Struthio camelus: one gene and its partners. The protein of the gene in region 3 purifies or fractionates together with the protein of the main gene of each other region. This does not show direct contact. Links are inferred from orthologs where the notes say so. Each region holds a gene or a part of one and is shown on either strand. Other genes may lie near its edges.

Region 1 (7,730 bases), on a different chromosome or scaffold from region 3:
GGACGGGCGAGCACCCGGCGGGACGCGGCCCGCGGCGGACGGGCGAGCACCCGGCGGGAGGCGGCCCGCGGCGGACGGGCGAGCACCCGGCGGGAGGCGGCCCGCGGCGGACGGGCGAGCACCCGGCGGGAGGCGGCCCGCGACGGACGGGCGAGCACCCGGCGGGAGGCGGCCCGCGACGGACGGGCGAGCACCCGGCGGGAGGCGGCCCGCGGCGGACGGGCGAGCACCCGGCGGGAGGCGGCACACGGCGGACGGGCGAGCGGCGGGCGGGAGGCGGCCCGCGGCGGACGGGCGAGCACCCGGCGGGAGGCGGCCCGCGGCGGACGGGCGAGCGGCGGGCGGGAGGCGGCCCGCGGCGGACGGGCGAGCACCCGGCGGGAGGCGGCCCGCGGCGGACGGGCGAGCACCCGGCGGGACGCGGCACGCGGCGGACGGGCGAGCACCCGGCGGGAGGCGGCCCGCGGCGGACGGGCGAGCACCCGGCGGGACGCGGCCCGCGACGGACGGGCGAGCACCCGGCGGGAGGCGGCCCGCGGCGGACGGGCGAGCACCCGGCGGGACGCGGCACGCGGCGGACGGGCGAGCACCCGGCGGGAGGCGGCCCGCGGCGGACGGGCGAGCACCCGGCGGGAGGCGGCCCGCGGCGGACGGGCGAGCGGCGGGCGGGAGGCGGCCCGCGGCGGACGGGCGAGCACCCGGCGGGAGGCGGCCCGCGGCGGACGGACGAGCACCCGGCGGGACGCGGCACGCGGCGGACGGACGAGCACCCGGCGGGACGCGGCCCGCGGCGGACGGGCGAGCACCCGGCGGGAGGCGGCCCGCGGCGGACGGGCGAGCACCCGGCGGGAGGCGGCCCGCGGCGGACGGGCGAGCACCCGGCGGGAGGCGGCCCGCGGCGGACGGGCGAGCACCCGGCGGGAGGCGGCCCGCGACGGACGGGCGAGCACCCGGCGGGAGGCGGCCCGCGACGGACGGGCGAGCACCCGGCGGGAGGCGGCCCGCGGCGGACGGGCGAGCACCCGGCGGGAGGCGGCCCGCGGCGGACGGGCGAGCACCCGGCGGGAGGCGGCCCGCGGCGGACGGGCGAGCACCCGGCGGGAGGCGGCCCGCGACGGACGGGCGAGCACCCGGCGGGAGGCGGCCCGCGACGGACGGGCGAGCGGCGGGCAGGAGGCGGCCCGCGGCGGACGGGCGAGCACCCGGCGGGAGGCGGCCCACGACGGACGGGCGAGCACCCGGCGGGAGGCGGCCCGCGACGGACGGGCGAGCACCCGGCGGGGGGCGGCCCGCGGCGGACGGGCGAGCGGCGGGCGGGAGGCGGCACGCGACGGACGGGTGAGCACCCGGCGGGAGGCGGCCCGCGGCGGACGGGCGAGCACCCGGCGGGAGGCGGCACGCGACGGACGGGCGAGCACCCGGCGGGAGGCGGCCCGCGGCGGACGGGCGAGCACCCGGCGGGAGGCGGCCCGCAACGGACGGGCGAGCACCCGGCGGGAGGCGGCCCGCGGCGGACGGGCGAGCACCCGGCGGGACGCGGCACACGACGGACGGGCGAGCGGCGGGCGGGAGGCGGCACACGACGGACGGGCGAGCACCCGGCGGGAGGCGGCCCGCGACGGACGGGCGAGCACCCGGCGGGAGGCGGCACACGACGGACGGGCGAGCACCCGGCGGGAGGCGGCCCGCGGCGGACGGGCGAGCACCCGGCGGGGGGCGGCCCGCGACGGACGGGCGAGCACCCGGCGGGAGGCGGCCCGCGGCGGACGGGCGAGCACCTGGCGGGAGGCGGCCCGCGGCGGACGGGCGAGCGGCGGGCGGGAGGCGGCCCGCGGCGGACGGGCGAGCGGCGGGCGGGAGGCGGCCCGCGGCGGACGGGCGAGCACCCGGCGGGAGGCGGCCCGCGGCGGACGGGCGAGCACCTGGCGGGAGGCGGCCCGCGGCGGACGGGCGAGCGGCGGGCGGGAGGCGGCCCGCGGCGGACGGGCGAGCGGCGGGCGGGAGGCGGCCCGCGGCGGACGGGCGAGCACCCGGCGGGAGGCGGCCCGCGGCGGACGGGCGAGCACCCGGCGGGAGGCGGCCCGCGGCGGACGGGCGAGCACCCGGCGGGAGGCGGCCCGCGGCGGACGGGCGAGCGGCGGGCGGGAGGCGGCCCGCGGCGGACGGGCGAGCGGCGGGCGGGAGGCGGCCCGCGACGGACGGGCGAGCACCCGGCGGGAGGCGGCCCGCGACGGACGGGCGAGCACCCGGCGGGACGCGGCCCGCGACGGACGGGCGAGCACCCGGCGGGAGGCGGCCCGCGGCGGACGGGCGAGCACCCGGCGGGACGCGGCACACGACGGACGGGCGAGCACCCGGCGGGACGCGGCCTGCGGCGGACGGGCGAGCACCCGGCGGGACGCGGCACACGCCGAACGGGCGAGCACCCGGCGGGACGCGGCCCGCGACGGACGGGCGAGCACCCGGCGGGACGCGGCACACGCCGAACGGGCGAGCACCCGGCGGGACGCGGCCCGCGACGGACAGAGGCGAGGCACGAGCTTCAGGTAGGACGCGGCACACGCCGAAGGGACGAGCTCCGGGCGGGAGGCGGCACACGACAGCGGGAAGTGAGGGATATCTTTCGGGGGGGGGACGCGGCACGGCCGGCCGGGGGCGAGGGATATCTTTCGGGGGGGGGGACGCGGCCCGCGCCGGACTCGGCGTGATGGAGTAACCTCGGAGAAGGTTCTGGCGCTGCGAAGCAGGAACGTAGCAGCCGTCCCGGCACGTAGACGGGGACCGATCGAAAGGAAACGGGCACCGGCGGAGGGAAGGCGACGGGAAGCGACCGTCGCGGGCAGGTGGGGGAATAAGGCTGCAGGGGGGCTGGGGGGGGGGGGTGTGGGGTCTGACGACCCCAGAATCGCTTCGTTTCGGGGTCCCTCCCCGGAGGCACCAGCTGAGCTGTTGATTTACCGTACCGACGTTTGAATAAATAATTAATCGCGCTGGATGTGAGACTCTGCTCCTTGGAAACGAATGCCCATCCTCCCCCCCCCCCCAGCCCCCCGATGTGGGGGTCCCCGTCCCCCCCCCCAGCACCCCAGTGTGGAGGTCAGTGCACTGCTGAACCCCCCCACTGTGCCCTGAACCCTGCACCCCAAACCATGCTGCACCCCCAAATCCTGCTCCACCACGGCCACTGAGAGCTGCGCCCCCCCCCGAGATCAGCCCCTGCCCCACAGCGAGACAGGGCCCCCCCCCCCAAAGGCCAGGCTCTGCCCCACGGTGGCTGGGGACCCCCCGAGATCGGCCCTCGCCCCACAGCAGCTGGAGGGGGCTGGGGTTGCTGTCAGCTCTGCCCCACAAGTGCCCCCCAAATCCCTGAGGTCCCCTAGAGCCCCCCCCTAAAGACCCCCATGTCCTCAGAGCCCCCCCCAAGTCCCTGGGGTCCCCCTGACTCCCAAGTCCCCCCCCAGTCTCCCAAATCTCCAGGGTCCCCTCCAGACCCCTGGAGCCCCCCGAGTCCCCAGAGGCCCCATATCCCCAGGTTCCCCTGACCTCCAAGTCCCCCCCCAGCACCCCCCCAAATCTCAGGGCCCCCCCAGCCCAGGGGAACCCTGGAGCCCCCTGACCTCCAAGTTCCCCCCCCATCCTCCCAAATCCCGGGGTCCCCCCAGCCCAGGGGAACCCCAGAGCCCCCCAAGTCCCCCCCTGGAGCCCTCCAACGTCCTGCCCCCAAATCCCTGGCGGGCCCTGGAGCCCCCCCCCCAAAACCCTGGGGTCCCCTTAAACCGACCCCCCCCCCAATGTCTCCCTCCCCCCCCGGGTCCTCCTGCCCCTCTGCCACCAGCCGGGGGGTCCCGGTACCGGCTGGGTGGATCTCGGGACCAGCTGGGGGGTCCCAGAACCGGCCGGAGGAGCCCGGGACCAGCTGGGGGGGGTCCCAGAACCGGCCGGAGGAGCCCGGGACCGGCTGGGGGAGGGGGGTCCCAGAACCGGCCGGAGGAGCCCGGGACCGGCCGGAGGAGCCCGGGACCGGCTGGGGGGGTCCCGGAACCGGCCGGGGAAGCCCGGGACCGGCTGGGGGGGGGGTCCCGGGACCGGCCGGGGGAGCCCGGGACCGGCTGGGGGGGGGGAGCCCGGGACTGTCCGGAGGAGCCCGGTACCGGCCGGGGGGGGGGGGTCCCAGAACCGGCCGGGGGAGCCCGGGACCGGCTGGGGGGGGGTCCCGGAACCGGCCGGAGGAGCCCGGGACCGGCTGGGGGGGGAAGCCCGGGACCGGCTGGGGGGGGGGTCCCGGAACCGGCTGGGGGGGTCCCGGGACCGGCTGGGGGGGGGGGTCCCGGAACCGGCTGGGGGGGTCCCGGGACCGGCTGGGGGGGGGGGTCCCAGAACCGGCCGGAGGAGCCCGGGACCGCCTGGGGGGGGTCCCGGAACCGGCCGGAGGAGCCCGGTACCGGCTGGGGGGTCCCAGAACCGGCCGGGGGAGCCCGGGACCGGCTGGGGGGGGTCCCGGAACCGGCCGGAGGAGCCCGGTACCGGCTGGGGGGTCCCAGAACCGGCCGGGGGGAGCCCGGGACCGGCTGGGGGGGTCCCAGAACCGGCCGGAGGAGCCCGGGACCGGCTGGGGGGGTCCCAGAACCGGCCGGAGGAGCCCGGTACCGGCCCTGCCCCGCTCGGGCGCTTCCAGTTCCGGTTGCGACCCAGACGGTTTCGGTTCCGGTTCCGGTTCCGGTCCGGCCCGGGCTGCCGGTACCGGCGGGGCCGCGGGGAAGCAGCGGGTCCCTCGGCGGGGCCGGGCTGCCGGTGTCGGTGCCGGTTCCCCCGCCCCGGGGGCGGCACCAGGAAGCGCCGGGCCGGGCCGGGCCGGGCCGGGTCGCGCCATGGCCGAACCCGCCGGTATCCAGCCCGCGGCCCGCGGCGACAGCAGCAGCGGCGACGACGACGACGAGGAGCTGCCGCCCGCTCTCGGTACCGGCCCCGGGGGGGGCCCTAACGGGGCGGGGGGGGCGGCGGCACCGGGCCGGGGGGGGACATCGGCGCCCTCAGCGGCCCGTTCCGGGTGGGACCGGGCGCACCGGGGGGGCAGGAGGAGGGAGGGAGGGGGCGGTTGCGAGGGGGGGGGGGACACGGATCGAGGGGGTACCGGGACCGGGTGGTTTTTTTTTTTTTGGGGGGGGGCGCGGTTCCGGGTAGCACCGGCCCGGGGTGTCGCTGGCCGGCGGCGGAACTGAGGCTTGGGGAGGGGCGGTTCCGGGGGGACACGGAGCGCGGGGGCACCGAGGCGTGGAGCGGGGAGGGGGGGCCGTTCTAGGGGGGGCACCGGGGCGCAGGGGGGAGGGAGGGCGGGTCCGGGGGGACACGGATCGCGGTGGCACCGGGGCGCAGGGGAGGGGGCGGTACGCGGGCACCGCGCCGGGGGGGAAACCGCGGCCCAGCGCGGACGTTCCGGGGCCGGGTGGGGGGGGAGAGGTCGGCATCGGGTGGGACAGTGGGGACATTGAGGGGGCAGGTGTGGGGCTCCAGGGGATATTGGGAACACTGGGGTGGGGGGACATTCCTGGTAGGTGAAGCCTAGGGGTGTCCAGGGGACATTGGGGACACCGGGGCAGGGGGGGTGTCCAGGGGACATTGGGGACACCGGGGTGGGGGGTGTGTCACTGGTGGTTCAAGGCTGGGGGTGTCCAGGGGACATTGGGGACACGGGGGTGGGGGTGTGTCACTGGTGGTTCAAGGCTGGGGGTGTCCAGGGGACATTGGGGACACCGGGGTGGGGGGTGTGTCACTGGTGGTTCAAGGCTGGGGGTGTCCAGGGGACATTGGGGACACCGGGGTGGGGTGTGTGTCACTGGTGGTTCAAGGCTGGGGGTGTCCAGGGGACATTGGGGACACTGGGGTGGGGGGGTAGTCCAGGGGACATTGGGGACACCAAGGTTAGGGGGATGTCACTGGTGGTTCAAGGCTGGGGGTGTCCAGGGGACATTGGGGACACTGGTGTGTGTGGGGGTGTCACTGGTGGTTCAAGGCTGGGGGTGTCCAGGGGACATTGGGGACAGTGATGTGTCCCTGGGTGATCAGCCCTGGGGATCCAGGGGACATTGGGGACACTGCGGCAGGGGGGTGACGCTGGTGTCCCCGAGAGGCACTGACCCCCCTCCCCGGTGTCCCCAGCCAACCTGGCCGGCCACCAGGAGAAGGTCGGCGTGGAGAACTTCGAGCTGCTCAAGGTCCTGGGGACCGGAGGTAAGCGGGGACGGGGACCCACCTGGCCTTGTCCTCGTGTCCCCATGCCATGTCCCTGGGGACAGCCATGTCCCCATCCCGTGTTCTCAAGGACAGCCATGTCCCATCCTGTGTCCCCAGGAGTAGCCATGTCCCGTCCCGTGTCCAGTCCCGTGTCCCCAAGGACAGCTGTGTCCCATCCTGTGTCCCATCCTATGTCCCATCCTGTGTCCCTGGGGACAGCCGTGTCCCATCTTGTGTCTGGGGGGGCCACTGTATCCCATCCCATGTCCCCAGGGATAGTCACGTCCCATCCTATGTCCCATCTTGTGTCTTCAGGGACAGCCACGTCCCATCCCATGTGTCCAGGGCCATCCCACGTCCCCATCCCGTGTCTGTGGGGGCACCCATGTCCCATCCCGTGTGTCCAGGGTCATCTCATGTCCCATCCCATGTCCGTGGGGGCACCCATGTCCCATCCCGTATGTCCAGGGCCATCTCATGTCCCATCCCGTGTCCGTGGGGGCACCCATGTCCCGTCCCATGTGTCCAGGGACATCCCTTGTCCCCATCTCATGTCTGTGAGGGCACCCGTGTCCCATCCTGTGTGTCCAGGGCCATCCCATGTCCCCATCCCGTGTCCATGAGGGCACCTGTGTCCCATCCCGTGTGCCCCAGGCCATCCCATGTTCCCATCCCGTGTCCGTGGGGGCACCCATGTCCCGTCCCGTGTGTCCAGGGCCATCCCACGTCCCCATCCCGTGTCTGTGGGGGCACCCATGTCCGTCCCATGTGTTCAGGGCCTTCCCTTGTCCCCGTCCCGTGTCCGTGGGGGCACCCATGTCCCGTCCCGTGTCCGTGGGGGCACCCATGTCCCATCCCGTGTGCCCGGGGCCATCCCATGTCCCATCCCGTGTCCGTGAGGGCACCCATGTCCCATCCCATGTGTCCAGGGCTATCCCATGTCCCATCCCGTGTGCCCGGGGCCATTCCATGTCCCATCCCGTGTCCATGAGGGCACCCATGTCCCCATCCCATGTCCATGAGGGCACCCGTGTCCCATCCCATGTGTCCAGGGCCATCCCATGTCCCATCCCGTGTCTGTGGGGGCACCCATGTCCCATCCCGTGTGCCCGGGGCCATCCCATGTCCGCGTCCCATCCCGCGTGCCCACGGCGCCTCCGCGGCACGTCACCGCCGTGCCCTTGGCGTGACGGGGCGTGCCCGTGGCGTGTCCCTGGCGTGACGGCGACCGTCCCACAGCCTACGGGAAGGTGTTCCTGGTGCGCAAGGTGTCGGGGCCGGACGCGGGGCGCCTCTACGCCATGAAGGTGCTGCGCAAGGCGGCCGTGGCGCAGAAGGCCAAGACGGCGGAGCACACGCGCACCGAGCGGGCCGTCCTCGAGCAAGTGCGCGCCTCGCCCTTCCTCGTCACCCTGCACTACGCCTTCCAGACCCGCGCCCGCCTCCACCTCATCCTCGGTACGGCCCCGGTGGGGTCCCGGAGTGTTGCGGGGGGGGGG
Region 2 (7,458 bases), on a different chromosome or scaffold from region 3:
GTCTGATATGCCTCATCTGAGAGCTAATCGCAGTGTTAACGTATGGAATTTGCACAGTGAATCATCAATATTTTATTGCTAATTTAGCTTTCAGGCAGACCCAAAAAAGCCCATTGGGGGCCACATCCTTGCGCATGCTTCAACTACCAGGATCAGTTTGAGGAAAGGGAGAGGGGAGCTGCGTATTGCAAAGATATATGACAGGTAAATCACCTTTTCTTTACAGGAAGGAAGCTGTGTTACAAGCAAGGTTAAGATGATGAAGTTCATGGTTCTGAAACTTAATAGCTTGACAATTGATTCATGGTTTCCAATTAGCTATGTTTCTGGATGGTATGTTGAGAGAAAATGTGAAAAGACAAGCCAATGAACAGACTTAAAGTTCTGTTCCACATATCATGTATATTAAATTATATAATCTTTCGTCATAAATCCTACTAGATGCTCATCTCCTAAAGAAGATTGTCAAATAGTTTGGTAACATTGGTGGTCCCTTGGCGGGAAAGATCCAGAGCTGTTTAATTATGAAGTTTTAATTAGGAGTATCAGTTTACCTGGTAGGCTGTGGCAGACGCAAGTCATTACAAATTTTATCAGTGGAATTAGTGTATTTATAGAGAGACCCAGCGTTCCTGGTCTGGAACTAAGACATTTAAGTGAAGGTTTACATAGACAGAATCTTTGCTTCTCCTACACCTCCTCCTTTCTCCTCCCTTGTAGTTCTCATCTTCAAAGAGGTAGATTTCACATTTTCTGATCTTGATCATCTTGGATCACTTTCTACAGTTTGCACATAGCCATAAAGGCATTGAAGTATTCCATGTTGCTTCTTATACTTGCATCGTTTTGGGGTCTATGCCACAACTGCCTTTAACATGGGGGAAAAACAGAGTTTCTTGTTTCTCTTCTGTCTGCAGCCCTGAGATGCCTGAAAATGAAGCTACATTTGCAATAACTGCTGGTGGGATTGGGGATGCCAAAGAATAGGCAGAAAACTGATGCAAATGTATAGCTGCCCCTAGGCAGCTGGGATGGAGACGTGTGTGCAAGGTCACTGAATCCCTGGCTTCATTTTTATCTTTTGGGGATCATTTGAGATATTTTTGGAGGACATTGGAACGAGCTCTGTACAGTTCAGTTTTATTGATCTTGATAGAATTTGGTTCATTTTAGAGGCTTTGTTTTTCAATTGAACTTTCAGCAGACAAAGATTTGAAAAATAAACTTGTGAATTGTTCAAGGAATCCTTTCCCAATATTTTGTGAAAATCAAAGCTGTCTTCTCACATCACCTTAATGTACTCTTTTTCAATTTCTTTGAAAGTGAAAGTCTGTGAAGGAGAATTTAATAGTGTGAAATGGAACAGAATTGGAATAAACATAGTTTCAAGAGTGACCGATAAATAGATGGAAAAAGCAGTGGCAGGGCAAGAGCCCAAGAACTTGATGGAATCTCATGAACAGTAGAGGAGCAGTAGTTGCTTGAAAATATGTTTTTAGGCCTTCTTATCTTGACTAGATTATTTTTGTCCTTTTATTTAGCATGGTGACTTTTGGAGGGAATATTTTAAAATTGTTTTTATTTAGTAAAGCTAAAAATAAAAATAAAAAATTATTTGGCGCTCTGCTTATGTTTGGGTGCTTTGAATCAGACTCCGCTCTCAGTAATTTCCAAGAACATTCATGAGAAAAATAAGCAGGATGCAACCCAGTATTTTAAATCCCGTAGTCCGGTTCCCTAAGGAAACAAACATTGCGCGATTGCCTCACCAGTCTCCTTCTACTGCCAATGAGAATAGTAAAGATGAGGTTTTTTTAATGAAAAAGCAGAAGGAAACAGAAGCGGTGGCTAGATAGAGGATAGAGACTGACACTAGTACTTTCACTGAGGGAAAGACACTTTATGCTTAGCTTGCTATCTGTTCTGAGAGAGCGTAGCCGGCTGGCCCATCAACACAGCTATGTCCACAGATGTATGTCACTGGGGACAAAGGAACAAGCTGTGAGTAAAGAGACAAATGGGGGAGTAGGGGAAAAAAAATTTCAGTTTTCCCTACCTCCAATATCTATGACATTGCTTGTTTTAAAATAAACTGTTAAATGCTTTAAAGAAAGGCTTCACTTCTTCCTCTTGTCTCACAACGCTGAAGAGAATGGGTCTAACTCTGGTGTTTGGTCAAAGAGCTTGTCTTTGCTCATAGAAGTGCATTTTAAATTTAGATTATCTAATTTATGTAAGATAATTTCTGGTCACCACTGTGTTTTTACTTCAAATTCTTTAAGAAATGCCTGGCACTGTAGCCAGAATTTAACTTCAGCAAGTTTACCTTGTGATAAAGTTAAAGAGTTTGCCTTCACTGAGTGTTTTCTTAGCGTATGTTATACTTGATAATTTTTCTGAGGTAAAATACCATTTTTCACAGCGGAGAGAAGTCTAGAGAGACAAAGGCGCTAGGAGGTCAGTTGATCAGAGAGAGCCAGTAATGGATCAGCAGTTTTCATTTAATGTAGCATTTAATCCTCTGCCTCTACCAGTCTTTCCCACACCCGGCAGTTATTTGTAATCGCCAAGTAGCAGAGCGCAAGCGTGAGCTTACGGTGTTGATTCACTCCCACCCACTTAGGAGGCAAAAGTTTCTTCAACGCATTCAGCACCACGTTTGCTTTTTGCCTTCTCACATGTGCCATACGGTAATGCAAGAAGAATAAAGTGGTAAACAATTTGTATCTGGCTCCAGGCGAAGTCATTTGTTAACCTCAAGGGTCTGAAAGTAAAGGGGACTCGCTTGCTCTTCAGCCATCCTGATTTTTGATTGTCTGATAACCTGGAAAGCACTGCTGATCGTGCAGCTTTGGCGTGGGGATGCCATCGTTTGGCCGGTGCAGGTAGATCACCCGCCCGATAAACGGCTAAACCTCATGTACCAGGGCAGGCGAGCTGGCTGCTCGCCCAGAGGCGCCAGAAAGGGAAGCACAGCCCCTTTCCTTTCAAAAGGCCATTTCATTGCGGCCACCAAAAGCTCTCTCCTGTTGCGCAGTTCAGCGTAAAATTGACAGTTTTCTAACGAATAGTTTACAGCCCACGCCACGTGGCTGCCTCCTGGCTAATTTTATCATTTAGTTGGGAGTCTCCGGTGTTGTTCTGGAGTCGAATGCTACCGGGGCGCGTGCGCGCAGCGCCGGGGCCGTGCCCTCCGTCCTCTGGCTGGCTCGCAGGACTGGCCTCGCCTCACCTTGCGCCCGGCTCCCCCGGCAGGCTCCTCCTGCAGCAAGGGACCGCTTTGACAAAGATCACAGAGAATTTACCAATTCAGACACGCGCGTCGTTTGTAAAGATGACGCGATAGGGATAGGTACAATGGGAATGCTGCAGTAGGTTTGCTGCTGTTAACTTCTATTTATACGCCTTCAAGCATTTATTAAATAACAGACACGTGCCTTTGGTTTGTCTGTTTGAAGACAAGTCAACAAAGCCAAACTAGTGTCATCTACGTGCCTTTAAGAAACTATTTATCTCAACAAAATTACACATATTTGGGGTGAAAAGGCAACAGAGGACCTTACAACATCAACTTAATATTAAGATTTACATTTTGCATGTTCCATTTGTAAACATTCAGTGTATCACCCCATGGAATAACATTATAGTTAGCAAAAGTGTGAATTCTTTAGCAGTTGACTTTCTGGAGACGTTGCTATGAGGCTCCTGCAGTTATGGAGGGGGGTCACCAGGGCCGAGTATTAAGCCATTTTTGGATGCATTACACCAGTTTCTTCCAGCCTCCTAGAAATAAGGAGAAAGCAAACATCATGGCTGCTGTCGCTCCTGTTACGGGTTCAGCGCTGTGCGCGGCGCCAAGATCCCCTCCAGGCATCTGCGAGGAAAAAAAGGCGCGAAGAAACCAAACATAACCGGCCCCGCGCAGTCCTGCTGGAGCCGCCGCAGAGGCCGCGGGCACCCGCGCTTCCGCTATTGTCTCCTCAGCCCCGAAGCCGCCTTCCAGGGGGACAGCGGCCGCGTAGGCAAAAGGCCGTATTCTCCAAGCTCGACTACGCTGCAAAGTTAACGTAATCCGCCAGCCCTTCCAGCAAAACCTACGGAAGAATTTTACGCAAAACGGGCGGGCTCGTCCTCCCCTACGCCAGCCCGAGTTGCGCAACTTGCGTACGCAGTGCTCTTACGTAACGTACGGCTCGGCCTGGGTTTTCCCTACCGTCCAGAAGGGGTTGCAAGATCGACTCCTTACGTAGCAGACTTTGAGGAATAGGGAGAGTGTTACTCTCCCCCCTCCCCTCCTGACGCAGGGGCCCCGCTTAAGCACAGAACACTACGTAACTTTCGTAACCTGCCCGCTGTGCGGAACAGTGTTTCGCGAAGAGCGCTTAGGGCGTAGTTGGGTTCCGAGAATAGGTGCAGATATTTTCGAGGGCCGGAATTTGCGCAGCGCCGGGCCGCCCGTAACGTAAGTGAAGCGGGTTGGAGAGGCGGCAGCCATTTTGTGCCGGGAGCCCGGAGGAAGAAGACGCTGGTGTCTCCACACTTCACGGGCCCTGGAGCCTACCGAGAACCCCGCCGTCCCGTCCGCCGACGTTCAGCGGGTCTCTGACCCACTGACCACTTCTTCTCCTTTTGTATCCCTCCCAAGAAGCGAGGTGGCGCAAAGCGACTCCGCCGAGGCACAGCCGCCCCTGGCTGGACCCTCTCCCCGTACCCCTAGTCCCTCACCCTCCCCACGGCCAGCATTCCGCTGCCTTTCACCCACCCCCCCGGGTGCCATGAGAGGCTTCGGAGACCGGGGCCGCGACCGAGACCGCGGCGGGTAAGGGGAGGGGGGGAAGGGAGGGAAGGCTGGGCCTGGGGGAGGGGGCGCGGCGCGGTGGGGGGGGAGGTGGAGGGGGCCCCCTCCTTTGGCTTAGGAGCCAGGCGAGGGGGAGGCGGGCGGGAGGGAATCGTGGGGCAGTAAAGGGGGGGGAGGTTGATCGTGGCTGCGGTATTTGGGACAGTTTTTTTTCACCCTATATCTTTATTCCAGGGTGGGGTGGGAGCTGGAGACGTTATTCCTACCGGGGTTCTGGCAGCAAGGGGTGGTGGTTATTGTTTTAATTTTGCTTTTCCTTCCTTCACGTGTAACCATGTGCCTCACTTTCAATTTTAAGGTCCTCCTGCCCCCCCCCCCGCGTTATTATTAATTTTTTTTTTTCCTGCCACCTCCATTTTCCTTCATCGTACTCCCCCCTGGAAATAACGAAGGTCTTGGTGGCCCTGGAAAGGGTGGTTGGATACTCTGCCCTTCGGGTTGTCATTGCTCCTTCTGGACTTTTCAGAAAGATGGCAGTTGGTGAAAGATCTTTCTCAGTAGCACTCCCAGGCTTATCCGGAGAGGAAATAGAATTGAAAACTGCTACCATGCAGGGGAGTTGCATTCTCAGGAGCCTGATCTCAGTAAACATGGCCCTGGACCACACTTAAAAAGCATGACCAAGCTTACTTAGGTAGCAATCAAAGAGAAGTTGTCTCTGTGGCACTGCGAAGGCCTGGTATTTGATACTCTTGATACTACTATCTCAAGAAAGTTTGGTTTAGAAAAGGTTTATGCAGGTTTGATTTTTCTCTGAGGACGGTAGTAATAAATATAATGTGCTCTGGGTATCATTAGGGTAAGCATAACATAGGCTGGTATAGCAGTATATAAATGGCTTGAGACTTTGACTTTTTTTTTTTTTTTAAAGAATTAAGAAATCATAAGACTCCTATCCCAAGCTTTTCTAAAGAGAAAATTAAGAACTAAATTCGGGAGAGATTGTCCCTTTCTCTCCTTTAAATTACAAATAGTTTAGGCCTTCATTCTCAAGGATAATGATAAGCATATGTGGGTTTTGTTATTAATCGAAATCCAGTCTGCCATGTTAAGAATGAGTGTTTTTTTTTTTTTGTTTCCCTCCCACTGAGAGATCAGGAATATTTTGTTTATATGTTGAATTGTAACTTAATATTTAGCTCTCTCTGTGGAGAGAGATAGCTGTGTTCTTGCTTTATCTTGACACCCACTGTTTCATGTTCAGAAATTAAATTTAAAGATCGTTTTAGTTTCTTTACAGAGAGGAGAGTTCTGGTGTTTTTCCACTATGAGCTTTCCAGCTTAGTTTAACACAAGGACATTGGAGTAAACACTTTGGTGAGCCTGAGATTGTTCAGATCCCAGCTTTTTTTTAGGAGTTTAGTGACTGAATTTGAGTATGCAGATTTATATACAGTTACTTAAAGGAACACAGTTGAAAACATTGTCATGATACTTAATGTGCCTTAAAATTTGTGTAATCTGGTTTTGTGTAAAGAATTTGATTGTTGACAAATACTTCTCTTTTAAAACGGAGGTGTTGCATAAGTAAGTGCTTAAATGCTTATTTGTAAAGATTTTGTATGTTTTACATGAAAAATCTTATTCTTGGGCTATTACACTGGAAGTTTTGATGCGTCAGGGTTCACTTTGGTATGCCCATCTATTTAAGGTCTGGAAGTATTTGTAATGACTAGCAACCATCTTTTCATAAATACTTCTCTTAAATTTTGGGTGACCCAGCCTGGTAGTCAAGCTCCGTTTAGAAGTTTAACCTTCTCAGTGCTGGTTCATTTATAAGACAACTGAATACAAGCTTTCTATTTTCCTTCTGTCATGAGCAAGTTGTAGATGACTCTTTAGCATGGAAAGTTATGCTGTTGTGCTTTGGAATTGAATAAATTGATTTAGTTTATTTAGTTGATAAACGACGGCACAATAGTACCAGAGCAGATTGTTTTGGATCAGTCTAAATTTCCACTTAATTGAAATGAGAACTCTTGATAAACCAGTGAAATATCCCTAGATTTAAATCAGTTTAACTGGAATTGGAATATGATTATTACTTGTAATGAGATTGTGAAGTGTCAGTTACTTCCAGGTGAGTAGGTAAATTCTGTGAGAGGCTGCATTTCAGGAATGATGTAGGGCTCACTTCTTTCAGGTCAACATACAGTCTTACTGTGTATAAGAATGAAGAACTGAAACTATATGACTTTTATGCAAAATACATTGTATTCTTCTGGATAGCCAAAGAGCAAATATTTATAATACCCAGCTGTTTTACTGTCTGATCTTGCAGTCAATTCTTTGTAAACTTATTCACAGTTTGACTCTCCAGCTGACTTCAGTGAGACTATTCATTTTGTTAGAGTTACTTAGATTCATAAATATCTGACTTTTTTTTAACCTCAGATTAGCACAATCAGTAGCAGATATCGTCAGTAAAGATGAATGTTTCTGTAACTGATGATCTGTACTGACTCTCTTACTTTGTCTCAAAAGAGTAATTAAACCTTAAATTGATTTTTGAAGTTGTTTTACAGTCTTGTCATATGACAGAAGTTATTGATTTTGCAGACTGTTTTGGGGATCTGAGAGGCATACTGATGAGAAAATAA
Region 3 (7,126 bases):
CCCCTTATCCAGCTCCTCTTTTTCCTTCTGGAACTGCTCCATCCTCTCCACTCGAGCCTGCAAGCAACAATTTACACTTTTAAGACCCTCAAGAGAAAAACAAATAGATAGTCTGGAAGACTGCAGTCACGAAGCAGCAACATCAGCCTCTCCAGTGCATCCAGAGCCCACAGGACTTTGAATCATCCCTACAACGGCCAACAGGAGCTCGCGACCGGAGCTCAGAGTGGGCAGCTGGCTCTGGCTATTCAGGCCTGCACTGTGCAGTGCTTCCTGGGGAAGGGTGGGGGGCTCTTCTACCTCCTCTGGAGCAGGCAAGAATTGAAACCACTTCAAGACAACAGCGGGATATTTCTGTTTAGCGTTCACTATCTTCCACACCCCATTAGCTGACTTGGGTTCTTTAGCCACGCTTCTCCCGTGACACTGACACACGCACAGAGCCTCCCTACGCTGTTAGGTAACGGCTCGCTGCAGTGTAGGAGACGCGTGCTCCAGGAAGCCTGACATGCTTTCCCAGATCGCTGTTATTCTTTGTGGAACACAGCGAAGAACAAGAAGTCACATACCCTCCCCCAGAAGCAGCTACATTAGGAGCACAAGGTGAGAACAGACGCATCTTTCCTCAAAAAGATCTCTTTCAAGAAAGATCAAGAGGCAGAAGAGCTGCGTTCTCTCCATGCACAGCTCCACAGGACGAACCTGGAGCAGACGCTGCACCACAACATATTCCAAATGCAACATCAAGCCTACGCTCACCTGCCTCAAACAAGCCCTCCAAGCTAAGCACTAGCATTTTGTTTGAACTGGAAGCGGGGGCAATTTAATTTGCACGCCAGCTTCATTTTTCTTCACTGTCCAATTTTTAACCACCCTTCCCTTCCTCCCACAGCCTGTGCTGCTAACCCCCAAATATCATATTACTTGGAGAAAAGGATTGTGAGTCCCTAAGGATTTCTTCTGCTCAGACTAGGCAGCGCAGGTCTGCGCACCTCCTCCACACAAGGCCGGGACCCTTCCTGCCTTCCTATCCAGGGCCCTCACAGGAAGCGGGAAGAACTGCCTTTCACTGTTATTCCTCTGCTTGTTTGAGGTGAGGACGCCTTTAGCGGAGGAAGCCAGCCGGGAGCACACGAACTCACTGCATTCATTCTTTACCTGCAAAGAAACTTGTAGTTTCCTCTCCTCACATTTGGGGGAGGGGGAACCCACAGAAGCAGCGCACACATGCGCTTAGCCAGTATCCCATGAATCTGCCTCTCTCAGTCACTGCCTCCTCCTGCAGGTTTATTACCCTTCATGGGCAGGGGAATCGCAGCAGAAAGAAACAGCTTGCTAGAAGCACAGGGAGTTGCCAGAACTCGGCGCAGCCCTTCCAACCACATCCATGAAACCTACGCAACAGCGACGGGACGCGAAGCTCTGAGTCCCGAGAGCAGGCACTGGCCCCAGGTGAGGTGGGCTACCCCTGGCTTCTCCAGAGGGAAGCCGGGTTCTCCCCGGCGAGCGTCACCTGGCCTGACAAGCTAGGGTAGCACAGGGCAAGCATAAGGGGATAAATCAGTCATTTGAGGAACACAGGCAAAAGGCTGACACGCGGCACTCACAGGGCGCTTCACCGTGGCGCTGCTTTGACCCAGCAGACAAGTCACTTCCACTAATACCCAGGCCCGCTCTAGGGGCGTCAGTGGCATGGTGCCGCAGAGCCTCACAGACAGATCGCGATAGCTTCCAAGCCTCCGCACCAGTATTAGGCAGAAGAGACTACCTCGGGCTGGCTAAGCTCCTAGCACAGTGACTTGGTCAGAGGGTAGCATCTCCCCAGGCCCAGGGAAGGGACAGGGCAGGCACCAGCCTGGGGCTTCCTGGCAGCTGCCCTGGACCCCAGGGCAGGGCCTAAGGACTGCTGGCTCCCAGGGCCTTGGACAGTGTGCCCTGAGGAAGCCTCCTGGAAGGGCCCTGAGGGACAGGGGGAGCCATGGGGACAGGGGTCACAGGGAGCCAGTCCCCACAGCAATAGGAGCCATGGGGGAACCCCTGGCCCAGACACCATGGGGCCAGGTCAACATGAGGATAGGGGTCATAGGGAGCTGGACCCCAAACAGATGAGGGCCATGGGCTCCCCCATGGCCCAGCCACCATGGGGACAGGGGCCAGCAGGAGACCCCAGCCAGGCCAACAAGGGGATGGGGGCCAGGGGGACTGGTCACCCCAGTGACAGGGAGGGGTAACAGGGGAGCCCCCAGCCCAGGCCCCATAGGAAAGGGAAGGGTCTCAGGGAACCATTACCATGGGGACAGGGGGGGGCCACAGGGGAACCCAGGACCCACAGACAAGGGGGGGTCTCAGGGAGCTGCTACCATGGGGACAGGGGGGTCACAGGGGGGCCCCCAGCCCAGGACCCACAGACAAGGGGGGAATCTCAGGGAGCTGCTACCATGGGGACGGGGGGGGGCACAGGGGAGCCCCCAGCCCAGGACCCACAGACAAGGGGGGAGTCTCAGGGAGCTGCTACCATGGGGACAGGGGGGGTCACAGGGGAGCCCCCAGCCCAGGCCCCATGGGGAAGGGAAGGGTCTCAGGGAGCTGTTACCACAGGGACGGGGGGGGTCACAGGGGAGCCCCCAGCCCAGGCCCCATAGGGGAGGCGGTCGCCATGGAAACGGGGTCACGGGGGAGCCGGTCGCCATGGAAACGGGGTCACGGGGGAGCCGCGCCCCGGCCCAGCCCGGAGTCGGGGGGGGGGGGGGGGGCGCTGCCGCCGGCCGGCCGGAGCCCGACCTGGTGCCGCCACCGGAAGAGGCTGGCGGTGTCGATGTTGGGGTGCGTCTCGTCCTCATCGTCCGACACCTCGATGTGGTCCCAGACGCTGTAGTCCACCATGGCGCGGCCGCGCTCCGGGCCCGGCTCCTCCGGCCTCTTCTGGAAACCTCCAGCGCCCGCGCCCGCCCACTTCCGCCCGCACATGCACGCACTTCCGCCCGCGCCTGCGCACTGCGCCTGCGCGCCCGCCCCGCCGCGCAGGGCAGAAGCCGGAAGCGCCGCGAGGCGGCGGCGGCGCGCATGCGCGGCAGCCTCGCCCTGCACAAAGATGGCGCGCCTCTTAAAGAGACACGCGCAGGCGACGCGGGGGTCGGGGCAGGGCCTCGCGTCGACCCCCCCTAGCCCCAGTGGGGACGGGGGGCGCTTCCCCCCCCACCAAAAAAAAAAGAGGTGATGCCAGAAGCACCTGCCTGCGGCACCCCGAGTGCCCCAGTCCATCACCCTGGGTGGTTGTCCCAGGCCCACCCGCCACCCATCCCACCCGTCATCCCGTCCTGCCCCATTGCGACCCCCTGTCACGACCCAGTATCCCATCCTGGCCACCCCAACCTGCTATCTGGGATGGCTGTTGTGGCCACCCCAACCCTGCATCCCGACCCACCAACCCAACCCACCACCCCGATTCTCCATCCCAACCCTCCATCCTGACCCACCAACCTGACCCACCATCCCGACCCACCACCCCGACCCACCACCCTGCGCCACCATCCTGATCCTCCATCCTGATCCTCCATCCCAACCCTCCACCCCAACCCTCCATCCTGACCCCCCACCTCAACACTCCATCCCCACCCACCGTGCTGACCCACCACCCCGACCCACCATCCTGGCCAGCCACCGCAGCCACCCCGACTGTCTCGCCACTGCCAGCCCCCCATCTGCCCGCCCCGAACTGCCACCCCGCTGTGCTGGGGGTGCTAGGGGTGCTGGGGGTGCCCGGTGCTGGGGAGCAGGGGGGGTCCCAGTACCGGGGGTGCATAGGAGTCCCAGGGAGGGTGCTCAGTACCGGGGGTCCCGGTATCAGGGGGTGCTCGGTTTGGGGGGTGCATGGGGGTCCCGGGGGGGTCATGCCCAGTGCCAGGGGGTCCCAGTGCCAGAGGTGCTCGGGGGTCCTGGGTGGTTGCCGGTGCCAGGGGTGCCAGAGGGGTCGCGGTGCTGGGAATCCCGGCGGGATCACAGTGCCGCGGGTCCCAGGGGGGGCTGGTACCGGGGGTGCTCAGGGGTCCCGGGGGGGCCGGTACCGGGGGTGCTCGGCGGTCCCGGGGGGGGGCCGGGGCCGGGGGTCTCGGGGATCCCGGGGGTCCTGGGGGGGCCAGTACCGGGGATGCTCGGGGATCCCGGGGGGGGCCGGGGCCGGGGGTGCCGGTACCGGAGGTGCTCGGGAGTGCGGGGGGGGCCGGGGGGCCACGGCGCGGTGCGGTACCCGCGGGGCCGGCCCCCCCGCCCCCCCCCCCGGTTCGCTCCGCCCGAGCGGCTGCGCCTGCCGGTACCGGGGCGGCGGCGGCGGCGGCGGCGGCGGGGGGGGGGGCGGGAGGCGCCGCAAACAAAGGCGGCTGGATGCGGCCGAGCCGGCGGCGGCCAGGTACCGGGGGCGGCACCGGGGGGCCGGGGGGACCGGGGGGGCCGGGGGGGCCCTCCCCTCCCTGTGCAGCCGCCGCGCTCGGGCCCGGGCATCCCCGGCGGGGAGTGGGGGGCAACGCCTCGGGGGCACCGGGCATCCCGGGGGGACCGGGAATAATGGGGGGACCGGGAATCCCGGCGGCGCTGGGCATCCTGGGGGGACCGGGCATCCCAGCGGGACCGGGAATAATGGAGGGACCAGGCATCATGGGGGCACCGGGCATCCTGGGGGGATTGGGAATCATGGAGGGACCGGGCATCCCGGCGGCACCCGCTATCCGGAAGGGATGGGGGGGTGCAGTGCCGTGGCAGGACCAGGCATCCTGGTGGCACAAGGCATCCCGGGGGGACTGGGAATCATGGGGGGATCGGGCATCCCAGAGGGACCAGAAATAATGGAGAGACCGGGCATCCCGACAGCACCGGGCATCCTGGGGGGACCGGGAATCATGGGAGGACCGAGCATCCCAGCAGCACCGGGTATCTGGAAGGGATGGGGAGGATGCAGTGCCGCGGCAGGACCAGGCATCCTGGTGGCACAGGGCATCCCGGGGGACCAGGCATCCTGGGGGCACTGGGAATCATGGAGAGACTGGGAATCATGGGGGGACTGGGCATGCTGGGGCACCAGGCATCGGGAAGGAATGGGGGGGATGCAGTGCTGCAGCAGGATCAGACATCCCAGCAGCACCGGGCATCTCAGGGGGACCGGGAATAATGGAGAGACTGGGCATCCTGGGGGACCGGGCATCTTGGGGGACCAGGTATCCGGAAGGGATGGGGGGGGTGCAGTGCCGCGGCAGGACCAGGCATCCTGGTGGCACAGGGCATCCCGGGGGGACCGGGCATCTGGGCAGGACTGGGCATCCAGAAGGGATGTGGGGGGTGCAGCGCCCCAGCAGGACCAGGCATCCCAGGGGGACCAGGAGTAATGGAGAGACCGGGCATCCCAGGGGGACCAGGCATCTCGGGGGGACCGGGAGTAATGGAGGGACCGGGCATCCCAGGGGGACCAGGCATCTCGGGGGGACCGGGAGTAATGGAGGGACCAGGCATCCCAGGGGGACTGGGCATCTTGGGGGACCGGGTATCCGGAAGGGATGGGGGGGGTGCAGTGCCACGGCAGGACCAGGCATCCTGGTGGCACAGGGCATCCCGGGGGGACCGGGCATCCCAGGGGGACCAGACATCTCGGGGGGTCCGGGAGTAACAGAGGGACCGGGCATCCCAGGGGGACCAGGCATCTCGGGGGGACCGGGAGTAACGGAGGGACCGGGCATCCCAGGGGGACCGGGCATCCCGGTGGGACAGGGCACCCCGGTGGGAGCAGGTGCCCCATGCGGGAGCCCCCTGGGACACAGCGCTCGGGGGTCCCCGCGGCCGGTCGTGCTGAGGGGCCCCGGGAGCCCCCCGGGGGCAGTGGGGCTGCGGGCAGCGAGCCCCCCGCTCCCGCCCCGCCGGGAGAGGCACCGGGCGTCCCGCGTTTCGGGAGCGTCCCGGCCCTGCGGCCGCGCTGCCGGGGCCGGCCGTGCCGCGTCCTGCCGGCCCCTTCTGCGGCTTCGCCGGCGGCGGCGGGTCGGCGAGACCGCTGCCACCCCATCACCCGTCCCGGCGCAGCCGCCCCTTTCCCCCGGAGCGCCCCGAAATCCCAGCCGGGGAGGGACGTGCGACGCCGTTCCTTCGCCCCGGCCGCCCGCCCCCGGCCGTTTCCGCTCGCGGCTTGGGCTTCGCCGCTCGGCGCGGCGTCACCGGCCCCGGCGCCAAGCGACTGCGAAGCAGTTAAATAGGCGGAAAATTCCTCCCGAAGCCGGGGCAGGCGGCGGGGGAAGCCGGGTGCGCTGACCTGGGGGCAGCCCCCTCCGTGCTGGGGGGAGCCGGAGCCCCAGCGTGGTGCTGGCCGCTGCTGCGATGAGCGTGTCGGTGCTCAGCCCTGCTCCTGCAGCCCCGGGTCCCGGCGACGGAGCGCGAGCAGCCCGGCTGGGCCCCCCCGGGGCGGCGGGGGCGGCGGGACGCAGCCCTCACCCCACCGCTCTCTCTTGCAGGCCCCTGCGCCCCCCGTGCCCCCCGCGCCGGCCCCCCTGGCCCCCGCGGCCGGAGCGCGGGCAGGACGGCCGCTGAGCCCCCGCGCCAGGCGGCTGCATGAAGAAGAGCCGGAGCACCCTGGCCGTGCCCGAGGACCAGGTGAGCGTGGCCCTGGGCCGGGGGGGCAGGGGGCCGTGGACCCCCGGCACTGCCCGGTGCCCCGCGGACACGCCGCCTCCGGGAAGGGGGAGCCGGGCAGAGCTTCTCGCGGCCGGCTTGGGGCCGGGGAGAGCGTGGAAACGCGGGTGGCTGCCCCGTGCCCGCGCGCGCGCCTGCTCGGCCAAGGGTGCGCGTGTGCATGCATGGCTGCAGGTGCGTGCGTGTGCGTGCCCGTGTGTGCGCATGCCCGTGTGTGCATGCAGGCAAGTCTGAGTGTGCAAGCGCATTGGGTACGCGTGCACGCACGGCTGAGGGTGTGCATGTGTGCACACATGTGTGTGTGTGCATGCACGGCTGAGTATGCGTGTGCGTGCATGCGCGTGTGTGCCCATGTGTGGGCAGCCATGGGTGTGTATGTGTGTGTGCCCATGCGTGCACAGCCAAGAGCACGTATGTGTGTGTACGTGTGTGCGCATGCATGCACAGCCAAGTATGCATGTGT
Region 4 (7,198 bases), on a different chromosome or scaffold from region 3:
TGTAGAAACAGAACTCCTGCAGCTTACCTCTGAAAACTATAAATCCATGTCACATCTAAAAAACTACTTGCATTATTTCTTAAGAAAGACCACGTTCTACAGATCTGTTGATTATACTCGCACTAAGTTACAACAGTTGTTGAACGTTAATAATGTAGTCTTTCAGAGTAATGCTAGTTAAAGGTATTTACTCCTCCCATAGAATACGCCCATGTATCACAATAATTCATCTCCTCAGTGATGCCAATAGGAAACTGAGTACAGGACTGCATAGTCCTAAAAATTTAATCCAGGTAATAAAAAATGAAAATTAATCCAATATGAAAACTCAGAGTTAAGATTACAAAAAAGGATTTGAGATAAGTTTTAAAGCTCTTAATTCCATGATTCCATGTGGATAACACAGCATTACAAAAAAATGCATCAGCAAATCTGCCATGTTAGTGGAAACTCTTTACCCTGTTATTACTGCTGAAGACATTATTATTATCAAACTATGACTGAAAGCACAATGAGGATGTAAAAAATATCTTTGCCCAAGGATGTGCTTGCAGGATAGGGTCTGTAATTAGGATACTGCTATGCTGCAGATGACTACATTTTCAATTCGCATGAGTTGTTTATGTACTTAGGTCATTTGTTTATTTGACTTAAATTTATCAATTTTCATTAAAACATCTTCTCTTCTTAAAAACTCATTTCAGGTAAGCAACTTCTTTAAGTCTACCTTTTCCTTTTGAGGAAAAGCTTTTACAGGTGCAATCTGGTCTTTTCAAGCACTGGATATTTATTTTAGACTAGGACCTTACCTTGTAAACCTGTCAGTTCAGTTGCTGTTTCATGTTTTGTTAGTGTTCCCAGTGAATTTTTTTAGATGCCTTATGACACACTGCTGTAGACTCAAGACAATGCAAGTGCTTTACTCCTTCCTCCCTCCCTCACTTTAGGAAGAGGTAGAATACACCAGTTTCAAGAAATCTATGACAGTAGTTTAAAAACAAATCATGGAACTAAAGTGCACTAAAACAAGGAAGTAATAAAAAGAGCATAATTAACCACATACATAGGTACTTTTCAAATTATCTGGTTTTATTACCTTTCTAGTATATATACCCTAGCGTTATTCAAGACGCATAGAATACATGCAGTGAGCAAGGAAGACTGAACTAACAGTTAAGATGTATTCTCTAAATCATTAGTGTAAACGGCCTTGCAGAAAAATCCTTCCTTGCCACTTCTCTCCCCTGAGCATCACACTATTCCAATTACTCTTCACTAAAAAATACTCATCTAAGAGCACCACTTCAAAAGTCACTGAGGGAAATTACAGTAAACAGCAAGAATTTAAGACAGTTAGATGCGTCTGTTAGATCAGAAGTCCAGGTTCTTCTGACTTCCAGAGATGCAGTCACTTTAAGCAGAAGGAAGACAAACATCAAGAGGACAAACACGTTGATACTGCAGAAACTTTTCAGTTTGGTCTATCTTTCTCTGCTTCACTCATTAGGAATAAGCCCTAACCTTGAAACTAATTTTTGTGGGCTGGCCTGAATCCACACTGTTCAAAATCATGGTTTGGAGCAGACTGGCTGCGTATCAGCTGGAGGAGATTCAGGTACAAGCTGCACCATCAGAGGAAGCTCTTCCTTTCCTTTCTGATGGGAGTCTGACCGTCAACTAGGGTGTACATTGCAGATGACTAGGAAACCACGAAGCAAGCACAACTGTCTCTGTACGTGTGGTGTTTACGTAGATCCAAACCAACAGAGCAGCAAGTACTCGGTAAAGAAGAACTGGAAATAACTGGAGGCGTCCGTAGCCCCCGATCTCAGGGTGCAAGCGAGGCTAATTTCCAGCTCCTGGCATTATCTCAGCCTGGAAGAGCTCACACGCGTCCTGCCCGACGGTGACACGAGCGCAACACCAACTCCCCACTACCAAAAGCAGGAAACCGCACTGGGCTGCATCTCAGGGATGTTCCCACAAAACGCGGCCGAGCACCGAGCTTCACCAATGCGAAGCGCCCGTGCGGTTTCCCAAACGCTTGCGAAACTGCAGAGACACAACCCCATCCTGCTTAGATAAGGGGACAGCGGCACCCGGGCGGGGACAACCCTTCCCCGCCGCAGGGGGAGCAGCGGCAAGGCGAGGGCGCCGGCAAAGTGACGCCGGCGCCGGCCAAGCCCCGCGGCCGAGGCCAGGGCCAGGACCGAGACCGGGCTGACCGCCCCCCCTCCCCTCCCCTCCCCTCCCCCTCAATCCCGGGGCCGGTTCCGGCCGCTCGGGAAGTGCGTGCGGAGGCGGCAGGGCCGCCCCGGGGCAGGGGGAAACCCGCTCCCGACGAACGGGCACGGCGCCGAAACAAAAGCCGCCGCCGCCGCCGGAGCCGCTGGTCGCCCTGCCCGGGGCGGCGGGCGGAAGGGGAGGGAGCCGGCGGCGGCCGTGACCCGCGGCGCGGGGCAGCCCCGGCCGGCGCCGGCCGTGAGTCAGTGCCCGGCGGAGGGAGCGGCGCGCACGAGGCGGCCGCCGCCGCCGCGCTCGTCCCCCAGCCCCGGCCGCCGGGGGAGCCCCAACCGCCCCCCCGCCTCCCGTCCTCCCCGGCGGCGGCTCGCTGCCCCCTCGCACCCGCCGCGGGAAACTTTCTCCGTCCCCCGAAGAGCGGCGGGAGCCGCGCTCCCGTCTCCGCCTCCCCCCCCCGCCCCGTCCGCGGCCCCTTCGCAACTTCCCCTGCCCCGACCGCCCTCACACGCCACCGGCGCCGCCACACGCCCCGCTAACCCCCGGGGCACCGCGGCCCCCCGCCCCAGGGCTCGGCTCTCGCCCTGGCCGCCGCTCCCCGCCGCCGCCCGTACCTCCGTGCTGCTCTCGGCCGCGCTCTCCACAGCCATCTTCTGCCAAGGGTCCGCCAGCTGCGCCAGGGGCATCTTCCCCGCCCGGCGCCCGCGGCCCCCGCGCCCCGCTTCCCCACACCACCCCCCCGCGGCGGCGGCGGCGGCGAGGCGCGACGAGGCAGGCAGCGAGCCCTCGGGCGGGCGCGGGACGCCCCGGCTGCCAGGACAGCCCCGGCCGGCTCTCACGGCGGCGGCGGCGGCAGCAGCAGCGACTGCGGGGACGGCCGCCGAGCTGCCGCCGCCCGCCCCTCCCCCACGCGCTCCCCCCTCCCCGCCGCCAGGCGGGGCCGCGCTTCCGCCCTCCCACCCGGGCCGCCGCTCGCACCCGGCTTCCGCTCGCACAACATGGCGCCCGAGCCATTACCTGCCCGCCCCAGCCGAGGCTACGCGCGCGTCACCCCCAGCGGGCGGGGCCGCGGCCGGGGCCGGGCCAATCGGCGCCGCCTGCAGGTAGCGGGAGGGGGCGGGGCCTGGCTGGGAGGCGGGGCGGAGCCGCGGCCCGGCTCGGTGGCGGGTGGCGCCGCGGGGGGGGGAGGCCCGCGGGTCGGGCGGCGCAGCGCGTCGGGAAGGCAGTACCGGGGGGAAAGAGAGGGACGGGGACGACGTAAAGACCGCGGTCGGAGGTGCGGGTTGAGGAGCTGGAGGCTTCAGCGGCCGAGAAAGCGGGGCGCCGGGAGCCGTTGCGGAAGCGGGTGGCGTGTGCGCGGCGGCGGGGTGGGCTGCGTGGGTGGGAGCTGCCTGGCAGCGGGCAAGCCGTGCTTTGTGCAGGCCGCGAGGGCAGAGCTGCCAGCGGAGCCGGGGAAAGGGCTTGTTCTCCTCGCCGTTTCCTCAGCTATTAGCTGGGGCGCGGACAGCTGGCTGAAATACAGGCTGAGATCCCCCCCAGGCCTGCGGCCTGGCTGCAGCCGCGCAGCCCCGACGGGCCGGAGCCGCCGCCGCCGCCGAAGGTGGACGCCCGCGTTGGGCGCCTCGCTGCCAAGTTTTCCCAACCCTACCTGAGAAGGGCCGCTTCGTTTTCCACAGGCCTCGCCCCCCTGCCCACCGACTCTGTCCTAAAGCCTTTCCAGGTGTTGATGGGCGTAAGTCACGTGCTTTGCTTCACCCCCGATAAAGGTTAATGTCGTTTTATTTGGGTGGGGGGCAAGGGGATGATGGGGCAGGAGTGCTAGTACCTAAAAAAACGCGTGTGCGCGCATGCATGAAAGCACGTGGGTGCGCACACTGATGTGGCAAACAGGCTACTTCTGTTTCTGCTCGGCAGCGTGTTTTCGTCCCGCTTTATTTCTGTAAGCGTGACTGCCTGCCGGCTAAGAGGTGCCAAGTAATGGACAGGCCGTGCTCCATAATGAATCGGACTTCAGCCGGTGCTGCAGCGAGCTCCATATCTGGCGTAAAAGGTCATCGCGGAACGATCCCCCCGAGCCACCACCGCTGCCAGGAGCAGCAGCTGTGCCCTCCCCTTGCTTGCTGCTCTTCGTGCTGGCCCTTGCCGCAGCCTCTCTTTTGAACGGGTGAAATTGCTGGTGCTGCCACGTGGTGAGTCAGACTGCAGAACAGCGCCAAGTAAAAACTAAACCCCCCAAACCACCACCACCTCTCAGAAAACAAACCCAAGCCCATCCAAGCTTGAGTTAAAAGTTGAAAAGAAATCAGGGCTGCCCCCTTTGACAACAGGGGGGCGGTTTGTAAAATTCTGGCCTGTTATTGATATGAAGTTTAGAATAAGGCAATAGAAAACAGAGATAATTCAGTAGTGCTTGACAGCTTTTACGCTTAGGTTAATAGCAATTTTGTAGTCTGATCAGAACCAGGTCACTTTAGTCTCGAGCTGGCGGCTGGAATGTTGAATGGAAAGCTTATGTTCACAGCAGTTGTACGTTGTGTGTTTGACACACACATCAATGCTTTTCTTTATCTTTTGAGTTCGTGTAAGAGTCTGTAAAGAAAGAAAAGTTTGCTTCCATCCCTTTAGAGGTGTCAGCTTCTGTTCCCTCACAGGGATAATTCAATTTACATTATTGCAGCTCATTCATTTGTACCCACGCTAACTACACGGTCAAATACCCACATCTGAGACTTGCCGTTATGAAAAAGAACCTGATCAGCTCAAGGGTGGCAACCGTAATAGAGAAAAAAATTACTTAAATTTGCGTTTAACATAATTCAAGCAATCCCTCTTTATATGGTAAGACTTCCTTCCTCTAAATAAAGGCTATCGTCTCCTGTCTTCCCTTCCTACTTGTCTGGTCATTTCCTGCCATAGATACCTGTTCCAAATCATTTATTTAGAGTTTGAAGCTCTTCTCAGAGGGAGAGATGGTGTCACATTTCAGTCAGGGCCTTTGAAAATGTTCATCATCTGTTGTCCTTCCTACGAATCCAGAAGAATAAAGGCAAAGATTTTATGTGCTAATATGTAAAAGGGCTGCAAACAACAGAAACCTGACCTTTTCGAAGGCACTGATGTGAGGAGGATGGGCTGAAGTATGCCATTTAATTGTTTGGGGGCTTATTTGAGTATTATCATACCACACATTTAAATCTTACAAAGGAGACAGCTTCATCAGGATTTTAATAAGAGCTACTACAGAGGAACAGAATTCAGGGCAGAAAAAAACATCTGTAGATTGTCCCCATGGGGAAGAGAAACACATCAGTTGATGTCTGGGAGATGCGGGGGTTTCTGACTTTCGGATCCTGCTAAGTTCTGGGCTGGATCGTCCAGAGAGGGGTAAGACACTGAAGGTATTTTGCCTCGAGACAGCAACTCCTGTTTTCATTCCTTCTGTCTCAGGCCAAAGCAAGACTCGTGCTTTCACCTGTGGCAGCAGACCTTTCCTTCTACCCTCTTCCCCTTTAAGCACAGCTATCACATGTTGAATGTAGTCACCATTAATAACCGCCTGTCACCAGAGTCTGTAGGGGTTGAATTCACCTTGGCAGAAGTGGTCGCTATCATATTGCATCTACACAGATGTTTTACATGCACTTCAACTTGATCACATTTTTTAGGAGAAGAACAGCATGTGGCAGCTGAAGTGACAGTGCTCTGTAAAATCTTGTTAATGTATCGTTATATGAACTCGTTATATGAACGTTATATGGGCTCCACAAACTGCACCTTTTTTGATACCACTTATGACAAATATAAGTTGTCATTGTATTGAAAGGGGAGACATGAGCTTAATAGGACTCATCTATCTTTCCCCTACTCAAGTCAGGTTGAGAGGTGAGCGAAAGGAATAAGGGAAGCTTGCTCATGGTCAATCATTTCCAAGGCTTTGTATAGCTTTGAAGTAATACCTAATAACTCTTTGCATGTAAGGCAGAATTCATTGCAGGGTTAGTAAATGGCTGTAGTCACACCCAAAAATCAAATTAATAAGCATAAAACGGGAATAGTTGGTAGCATCACTACAGTACCAAAAGGATGCCAAGAAACCGGAGCAAAGTTGTATTTCCACTAAAGTGGAAGGCAGAATTCCGGTTTATTTAACTGGTTTGAAATCCTGTTTCCCTTGGTCACAGTACCACGCTTTTAGAAAGTATTCTGACAGGACTAATAAATCAAATGCATTTAGGGGTCACAGTATAGTATTTAGGAGCTTGAACTTGTATTTTCTAAATATAAATAAAAGGGAAAAATGAGTAAACCAAACAGTATTTATGAGAGCAAAACCCACACGCATTACATAGATGGTGTAGTAGTGTATTAGGTATGAATTATAATGTAGTTTCTTCTGGATTAAAACGCGTAGAATATGAAAAAGTAAATGCCTTCTGAAAGTGCAAATTGAACTTCAGTTTCAAATGTTACAACCATAGTGTTGAGGTATATAATTTGAATTGACTGTATGGGAAAATATGCAAATGTTATTATTCAAAATTATGTAGAAGAAAACTTAGGAGTTAAGTAAAAAACTAAAAAAATCAATACAATTTATTTTTATAGCCAGTAGGAGCAGAAGAGCCTCTTACTCTCGGGACACCTGGATTCAATTCTTAGAGGATCACAAAGGACAATTGTGTAATTTGGTCACTTAGTGTAGATTCAACTAAGGAGACTTAAGTCTTTCTTAATGATGTTTTCAAAAGTGTGAAGAGACATTAACTGGAGAAGCGTAAATATATCCTGCCAAAATAGAATAAGGAAGCCTTAGCGGAAAGTAGAATTGGTTGCTCTGTGCTTTAGTCAGTGCTTTACTTGCCTCGTTGGGATATTGCAAGCATGTTTTCCCTGATGTTTGGAAAACTGATGATGGCTGGGGAGAGAGACTATATGCTAAAAGAAGTTCCCAGCTGGCATG

Evidence for each region.
Region 1: the proteins of CDC37 (region 3) and RPS6KA4 purify together in Homo sapiens (affinity purification with mass spectrometry; 3 studies listed by BioGRID and IntAct, with this or other methods). This does not show direct contact. The link is inferred for Struthio camelus from reciprocal best matches to the Homo sapiens genes CDC37 and RPS6KA4.
Region 2: the proteins of CDC37 (region 3) and DDX17 purify together in Homo sapiens (affinity purification with mass spectrometry; 3 studies listed by BioGRID and IntAct, with this or other methods). This does not show direct contact. The link is inferred for Struthio camelus from reciprocal best matches to the Homo sapiens genes CDC37 and DDX17.
Region 4: the proteins of CDC37 (region 3) and RPS6KA3 purify together in Homo sapiens (affinity purification with mass spectrometry; 3 studies listed by BioGRID and IntAct, with this or other methods). This does not show direct contact. The link is inferred for Struthio camelus from reciprocal best matches to the Homo sapiens genes CDC37 and RPS6KA3.

What each region holds. Positions count from the first base shown.
Region 1 is NC_090976.1:700,239-707,968, forward strand, and holds the start of RPS6KA4 (ribosomal protein S6 kinase alpha-4), read left to right. Parts: upstream 1-4,726; 5' UTR 4,727-4,868; coding exon 4,869-4,956; intron 4,957-6,156; coding exon 6,157-6,228; intron 6,229-7,470; coding exon 7,471-7,689; intron 7,690-7,730. UniProt on the Homo sapiens protein: Serine/threonine-protein kinase that is required for the mitogen or stress-induced phosphorylation of the transcription factors CREB1 and ATF1 and for the regulation of the transcription factor RELA, and that contributes to gene activation by histone phosphorylation and functions in the regulation of inflammatory genes.
Region 2 is NC_090942.1:58,319,200-58,326,657, forward strand, and holds the start of DDX17 (probable ATP-dependent RNA helicase DDX17), read left to right. Parts: upstream 1-4,448; 5' UTR 4,449-4,775; coding exon 4,776-4,819; intron 4,820-7,458. Other genes in the region: DMC1 (meiotic recombination protein DMC1/LIM15 homolog), read left to right, coding at 88-204, 918-987. UniProt on the Homo sapiens protein: As an RNA helicase, unwinds RNA and alters RNA structures through ATP binding and hydrolysis.
Region 3 is NC_090972.1:4,866,598-4,873,723, reverse strand, and holds the start of CDC37 (hsp90 co-chaperone Cdc37), read right to left. Parts: upstream 3,015-7,126; 5' UTR 2,968-3,014; coding exon 2,782-2,967; intron 58-2,781; coding exon 1-57. UniProt on the Homo sapiens protein: Co-chaperone that binds to numerous kinases and promotes their interaction with the Hsp90 complex, resulting in stabilization and promotion of their activity. Inhibits HSP90AA1 ATPase activity.
Region 4 is NC_090942.1:136,907,200-136,914,397, reverse strand, and holds the start of RPS6KA3 (ribosomal protein S6 kinase alpha-3), read right to left. Parts: upstream 3,008-7,198; 5' UTR 2,925-3,007; coding exon 2,853-2,924; intron 1-2,852. UniProt on the Homo sapiens protein: Serine/threonine-protein kinase that acts downstream of ERK (MAPK1/ERK2 and MAPK3/ERK1) signaling and mediates mitogenic and stress-induced activation of the transcription factors CREB1, ETV1/ER81 and NR4A1/NUR77, regulates translation through RPS6 and EIF4B phosphorylation, and mediates cellular proliferation, survival, and differentiation by modulating mTOR signaling and repressing pro-apoptotic function of BAD and DAPK1.